Lonchura striata: one gene and its partner. The protein of the gene in region 2 binds, or shares a complex with, the protein of the main gene of each other region. Links are inferred from orthologs where the notes say so. Each region holds a gene or a part of one and is shown on either strand. Other genes may lie near its edges.

Region 1 (3,747 bases), on a different chromosome or scaffold from region 2:
AGTACCGCGAGGGGTGGCGGCCGCGCGCCGTGAAGGTGCCGGGCGGGCGTGAGCGGGCGGAGCCGCCTCCGTGAGGGGCTGGGGGCGGCCGGGGCTGCGCTGGAGTCCCGCGGCTCCCGGGAGGGAGAGAGGGAGGCCCTGGGCCTGGCCTGCTGCGCGGCCGGGGCTTCTCGTTACTGCGGCAGAGCTGAGAGCTTTGGTATCTCTGTGTGCGCTCTGTGTACAGTGAGCCGTAGCGGCACCTTGGAGGCTGGCGCGAGAAAGGAAGCGCTAAGGTTGGAGAAGGCCTTTAAGATCATGAAGTCCAACCGCTTCTGTTTCCAGCCTCTCGTCAGGAGTTGTAGAGAGCGATGATGACTCCCCGAACCACCTTTTTTCCAACCTGAGCCCCCCAGCTCGCTGAGCTGCTCCTCATCAGACCTGTGACCCTTCTCTGGACATGCTCTGGCACCTCAGTGTCTTGGAGAGAGGCCCCGAGCTGAACCCAGGATTCGAGGCGCAATCTCACCAGTGCTGGAATAAGGGTTACTGCGTGCCCACAAACATAGGGACATCTTTTTCGCCAGTGCCACCTTCCTGTAAAATTTCAAACCCTCCATAGTTCATGAAGTCTCAAAGCTGTTACGTTCTTTTATTCTTCCAAGTGTACATGGGGAGGCAGAGGACAGAGAGCCTTGTGCATCCACAGAGCTCTGGCCAGCACAGGCATCCAGCCATCACTGGGCATTGGAGGAGACACACAGGAGAAACAGTATGGATGTCCCAAGTGTGGAAAAAACCTTATTAGAATCTTTTCTTCCTGGACAAGAAAGAGGTAGAAGGACAAACCTTCCCAAAAAAACCAGTCACATAGTGAAAGCCTGAAATTCCTTCAATCCCTTGTTCCCAAAAGAATGTAGGTGGGAGTGTGCAGCTGCCACAAGAAAACTTACATGACCTGCCTGCAGAAACTTTTATAGTGGAAGTTTGAGAGTTGATTTCCCAAGCAGTTCTCACTTTGTCCAGAATATGGGGTTTTTTTAAGAAATATGTGTAACTTATGCAGTCTAAATATTTGTGGTTTGGGGTTTTTTTTAACAAACTCAGAATAAATTTCCTTTAATCTCAGGGATAACCTGCCTAGCTGTCTGTTGTACATAGTGAGCCATCAACAAGCTTTGCTTAGAGTCTGTTATGTGACAGTCACAAAGCAAATAAGAATGGTTGGTTTCATTTTTAACTTGCTGAGAGAAGACCTTCTTTTTCTCAGCATACAGATTTTATCTGTGTGTCTTAAAAATGTACACTGTTGGATCACCATGGGAAGTAGACAGCTCTGCACACACAGGATTTACCCCAGGGAATTGTGGTAATTATTTTTTTACTCCCTGTGTGGAAAAAAGCAGTTTTCCTCACTTGCACAACTTCTTTGGCTATGAAGACCAATTTTTCAGTGTTTTTTTTCTGTATTTTGACAGCATGTCCTATAAACTGGTCACTAGTATGTCTTGCATGGAAGATGGCCAGAGATGTAAGAGATTTTACTTGGGAACTGGCAGTAGTACTCTGACTTTGTGTAGAAAAGTCAAGTCTATTTGTGTTTTACTATGCATGAGAGGCATGAGTTCATCTCTTGCTCAGTGATGAAGAGGTCCCAAATGACCATGCACTTACTGCCCTGCAAAACAGTACATGTGGGTTTTCAGCATCCTGAGAGGATTTGGAGAAAAACAGAGAACATGGAGAAAATGCATGCCTTTTGCAATAAAGCAAGAATGGGAATGTTTTTTCATAGTCTTTGTTTTTGTTTTTTTCAGGTTTACACTATCAACTTGGAATCTCGCTACTTACTGATACAAGGAGTTCCTGCATTAGGTGTTATGAAGGAGTTAGTTGAACAATTTGCATTATATGGTGCCATTGAGGAATATCATGCTTTAGATGAATATCCAGCAGAGCAGTTTACTGAAGTGTACCTTATAAAATTCAAAAAACTGCAATGTGCAAGGTATTGGACAGGGCAATATCTGCCTCTTGCTGTCTTAATCTTTTACACCTTCTGTACTTGCAATGTGTTAAGTAAAATCCTCAGTTTTGTTGATAGACTTTAATTCCCTTCAGGGTGGCCAAGAAAAAAATGGATGAACGAAGTTTCTTTGGTAGTTTGCTGCACGTGTGCTATGCTCCAGAATTTGAAACAGTCCAAGAAACTAGAGAGAAGTTGCAGGATAGAAGAAAGTATATAGCAAAAGCAACAAATCAAAGAGGTTAGTGATTAAATTTTCTATAGAATCCTGACTAAATTTCCTATAAAATTTTAATGTTCTTCAGGACTGGGTGGGGTTTTGGCTAAAGTGCCTGTTAAAGAAAACTTTTTACCTACCTCTTAAAGATGCTATAGTGTGTGGATGGTGGCCAGATGCCAGGTGTCCACCAAAGCTGCTCACTCACTGCCGTCCACAAACCGGACAGAGGAGAGAAAATTTAACAAACAGTTCATGGGTTGAGATAAGGAGCAGGAGGAAGATCACTTATCAAATACCATCAAGGCAAAACAGGCTCTACTTGGAGACATAATGTGAAATTATTTCTAACAAACTCAAAGCAGGATGAGAATTAAATAAGCCCTTATAACCACCTTCCTCCCTTCTCAGGTCTATCCCCTGCCCAGCAGTGCAAGGGCACAGGGAATGGGGGTAATGGTCAGCTCATCACCCATGGCTTCTCCCGCTGCTCAGGGAGAGGAGTCGCTCCCCTGCTGCCCCCGGGGAGGCTCGGGAGGCGGTTCCCTGTGAACTCTCCAGCGTGAGCGCATCTCGGAGCGGCAGCTCCCTGTGAGCTGCTGCCACGGGTCCCTCCACGGGCACAGCCTCCCCAGCCCGCTCAGGGTGGGTCACTGCTCCGGGGTGCATCCTCCAGGGCCAGGCTGCTCCCGCCCGCAGCCGGGCCCCTCTCCACGGGTCTCCCCCGGGATCGCAGCCTCCTCCCAGGCATGCCCGTGCTCCGGCCCGGGGCTCCTCCCCGGGCTGTGGCGGATCCCGCATCCCCACGGCCCCCACGGGCTGCGGGGCACAGCGGCCTCCCCATGGCGGCCCCGCGGCCTGAGGGAATCTCGGCTCCAGCGCCCGGAGCCCCTCCTGCCCCTCCTGCCCCGACCTCGCCGTCTGCAGGGCTGCTTCTCGCACGGGCTCGCTCTGCTCTTCTCTGGCCGCAGCTACAACTGCACAAACACTTCTTGTTTATTTTCCTGCTTAAATCTGTTACCACAGAGGTGCTACCGCCATTTCTAATCGGCCTGGCCTTGCCCAGTGGCACATCCATCTTTGGAGCCACCAGGAATTGGCTCTGCTGGACATGGTGAAAGAATCTGGCAGCTTCTCACAAAAGTCAACCCTGTAGCCCGCTCGCTACAAAAAAAGGGGTCATGCAAACCCAATACAGAAGCATTTTAAGTATGTTTACAGGGAGACATCTCGCAATATGTAGAGAACTATATCCTTTTCAAAGTATTTTTTTGGCTTTGATTAAGACGAAAATAATGAAATTATTAAGCTTTAATAATTAAGTATTTCCTTCATTTTTTGTTTTCTTTCAAAGTGCTACCAGAAATTTAAAGCGCTGGCAGGAAATTTGGGATCACACTTTTACCTTTGTTCCAGCCTCCTCAGGCATGCCAAAGGGAGAGTTTTGGAATGAATATGACTATACCAGAACCTTCAAAAAATTTCTCCAGCCTACATCTTTGCACTGGGGGAATGTTAAGAATGG
Region 2 (3,747 bases):
ACACACTAATGTTACCAAAAATTACTCTTTTTACTAATTCATCACTATAAAAATCCACAGCACCCAATAACTCCTTTGTTAAAAGCAAAGTGATTTCTGAATCACTTACCACCTGTGGACCCTAGCAAAAAAATACCAATCAAAAAAGGGTTTTTTTTGATTTCTGCATTTATCTCCAGTGGATTAACGCTAGACTGCATTCTGAAGATTTTACATCACTGAGACTGTTACAAAAGAAAGAACAAATATAGCACTAGGGGCCAACTAACCTTGATTTCCAGAATACTGTTTGTGTCCATAGGGATCCCCCGTGTTGGCGCCTCCTTTCTCCCTCAGGTTCTCTTTGAGCGTGGGCATGTGCAGCACTGAGCCGTACTCCGTGCGCAGCTTGACAGCCATCTTCACCTTGTGACTGTGGCAAGAGAAAAGCAAAATCCTCACTGAACCCCACTTTCTGAACCGCTACCAGGTTTTGAAATATCTTAGAGAGGATGTCATAAAACTTAACTTTACAACCCTAATATTTCTCTCCCCTCAAAACTACACTGTTGCCAGTACAGAAATATCTGAATTTCTGACTTGGGTGGAGCAATCACTGACAGAGTTTAAAACTTCACTGAGTGCAGCAGCACTTACCTTTCTTCATCCAATGGGATAGGTTTGGCATTATCAGCTACAAACATGTCATGGGTTCTCTTCAAAGACCTGAACACAAGTGTGTGCACAGAATGCTTTTGCACTTCCTAAAATAAAGAAAAGAGTATTTAAATAAGTTTGAACAGATCTACATCAAAAACTGAAAACTGAAACATAAATTGAACTGAGTAGCAATTTCTCAGTTCTATGACATGCAACCATTTGGTTCACAGAAGACACTAATATTCTTGGAAACTAAAAAGTTAAGTTATTATGTCAGTTGTTTTACTTCAGTGTTTATTCAAAACTGTATTCTATTCCTTGAAAACTTACAAGAATTTGAAAAGCAAGCCAAAAACTTTAATCCAACTTTCTGCACTGGCATTTACATGACAAATCCATGAATATAAAAGCTTTTATCCCACGTCCTTCCCAGTTCTGTTTTCATATGTAAGCAATATAGAAGCCAATTCAGAAAAACAAACAAACAAACAAAAACCACCTGTACATTTTCCTTCACTACCACTGTGAAAAGAACATGAGCAGTCATTAATTTCTATGTACAGTACCACTTCATGTTAACATGGCTAATCACCACCCAAAAACAGCAGCTGTTGACAAACAGAGGAGTAGGTACCACCATGTCTCCCCAACAGGGAAGAAACTTGCTGCAAGTAATTTTTGATGGATGCTTTTTGAAAAAAAATAGCTCATAGTGTTGCATCAGGCAGCAGTTGTTGCACCTTCTTCTACAACTCTGACAGCCCCACATGCCTTCAGAAGTGCATGATATTCACTCCACAGTAAAGATTCTACCACCTGTAAAACCAGTGGCCTCCTCCACAGGTGTGCTCGCAAGGCCTCACAAAAGAAGCTGGCTGACAGAGTCAGCAGTAGGTTTCTGGTGGTTAAACATCACAGCATCACTTCCCCACAATCACAGAACAGAATGTACTGAGCTGGAAGTGGCTTACAGGGATCACGGAGTCCAGCTCCTGGCCCTGCATAGGACACCCCAAGAGGCACATCCTCTGTGCCCAAGAGCATTGTTCAAATGCTCATTGAACTCTGTCAGCCTTGCTGCTGTGATCACTTCCCTGGGAGCCTGTTCAAGCACCCCTCCACCCTGACCTTTGCCTGATATCCAACCTAAACCTCCCCTGACACAGCTTCAGGCCATTCTCTTGGACCACCACAGATCGGATCCACGATCAGATCGGAGCCTGCTCCTCTGCTTTCCCCTCGAGAGGAAGCTGTAAACTGAAATGAAGTTTCCCTTCACCCTCTCCTCCAGGCTGAATATGGCAAACGACTTCATCCATTCCTCACTCCGACCATTCATTCTGACTATTCATCTCCATATGCTTTATACCTTTTCCCGATGTTGTGGTACCCAAAACAAACCCCAGCACTCGAGGTGAGACCGCCCCAGAGCAGAGCGGGACAATCCCCTCTGGTGACGAGCTGGCGGCCCGATGGGCCCCAGCGCCGGCATTCGGCACAAGTCTGGCAAAGCAAAGCCGCTGCTCACTCCCGGCCACACACGCACACTCCGACCCGCACCTCGCTGTCCCCGGGCCGCAGCGGGCGGGGCCGCGCAGATGGAGGGGCCGCCACGGACCATCCCTACAGCCCTTTCCCACCCGGGGACTGCGAGGGTGCAGGGCGGCGCTTCTCCCGCCCGGCCCCAACCCGCTCCCGCTCCCTGGTCTCGCCCGGAGCGTCTGCAGGCCGCGACAGAGCGAAGGCGCGGGGCCGCTCCCCGTGCCTCACCTCCGCCATGGCGCCGCCGGGCTCCCCCGCCGCGGCCGCTCTGGAGCCACTTCCGGCGCCTTCCCGCGCCGGGCCGGAAGTGACGCCTGAGCCCGGGCGGAGGCGCCGAAGCGGCGGGGCGGGGCTTATGGCAACCCCTCCACTCGCTGTGCGGTGGTTCAGGGTTCGAGCCCCGCTGGCGCTACCGGAGCAGCCGGTGCGAGTCACTTCAGCAATGTGTACAAATATAGAGAGGGGTGGTGACAGGAGAATGAAACCAGGCTCTGTCGGTGGTGCCAAGCAACAGGACAAGAGGCAGTGGGCAGAACCTCATGCACAGGAAGTTCCACCTGAGCATGGGGAAAGCGGCACAGAGAAGTGGCGGAGTCTCCATCACTGGAGATAATCGCAGCCCTGTGCCGCATGCTCCGGGATGGCCCGGCGGGATCCGATGACCGCACTCACTGCGGTCCCTCCGGCCGGAGCCATCCGCGGCCATCCCGGGGCGCGCTGTCCCCGGCGGCGGGCGCGGCGCAGTGCGGCCGGCGGCCGGCAGAGGGCGGTGTGGCGCTGCGGAGAGGCGGGAGCGGCCCGGCCCGAGCGCTGCCCCGCAGGATGCGGGATCGAGCCTGGGCTGGGCAGTCCCGCTTCCTTGGGCCTGAAACTATCGCACTTTGCAAGTGTTTAGGGCCGTGGGGCTACAGGGTTCATGTGTTGCTTTCCTCGTGAGTTCTCAAGGGTAAAGCCATACGGTGTTGAACTGCGGCGATATTGGATGTTAGCCATTATAGCTGATCTTTTGGGAAGGGTGTCTTTAGTTTGGCTCCACAGGACCTCATTTTGATGAAGAGCAAAGGGTGTGAACAAGCTGGCGACCCCTGTACTTCATGTCAAAGTGTTGGCTGTGAAAGGGCAGAGGCTATAATTCTATTACAAACGTACCCTGTTAGTCCACCAGGTATTTCACTTCCATTTGTGAGCAGAATAACTAAATGCATTTGTGCAAATTTCAAATAGGCACCTACTTTCTCCACATATACTCACCTGTTCTTAATTTTAAGAAGTCTTGTCCTCCTGAGCAGTAGCTGGGATTTGGCAAGCTCATCTTTTGCAGCCACTCCGTCATGATGCTCTTCTTTACCACCAAACCAGCCACTCGCTCTGTCTGCTTGCCTGCATGCCTGAGCTGTGAACAGTTTGCAAAACCATCTGAGCTAGAAGTAATTCAGTGCAACATAGCTGGTTCAAAACTGCTGTCTTCTACAGGACAGCGTTAGCTTGGCATTTCTGGCACACAGCTTGCCTACTTGACATAAATATCGTGTCTTTTCTGCAGTTGGTGGGTCACTTCTGGTGGCT

Evidence for each region. Proteins that work in one complex are often made in the same cells at the same time.
Region 1: PLRG1 (region 2) and RBM48 share a complex: the UniProt entries of both Homo sapiens proteins name them as parts of the minor spliceosome. The link is inferred for Lonchura striata from reciprocal best matches to the Homo sapiens genes PLRG1 and RBM48.

The regions. Positions count from the first base shown.
Region 1 is NC_134603.1:133,592,719-133,596,465, reverse strand, and holds the start of RBM48 (RNA-binding protein 48), read left to right. Parts: upstream 1-798; 5' UTR 799-1,586; coding exon 1,587-1,987; intron 1,988-2,100; coding exon 2,101-2,246; intron 2,247-3,747. UniProt on the Homo sapiens protein: As a component of the minor spliceosome, involved in the splicing of U12-type introns in pre-mRNAs.
Region 2 is NC_134606.1:42,273,098-42,276,844, reverse strand, and holds the start of PLRG1 (pleiotropic regulator 1), read right to left. Parts: upstream 2,477-3,747; 5' UTR 2,419-2,476; coding exon 2,410-2,418; intron 744-2,409; coding exon 637-743; intron 413-636; coding exon 270-412; intron 1-269. UniProt on the Homo sapiens protein: Involved in pre-mRNA splicing as component of the spliceosome. Component of the PRP19-CDC5L complex that forms an integral part of the spliceosome and is required for activating pre-mRNA splicing.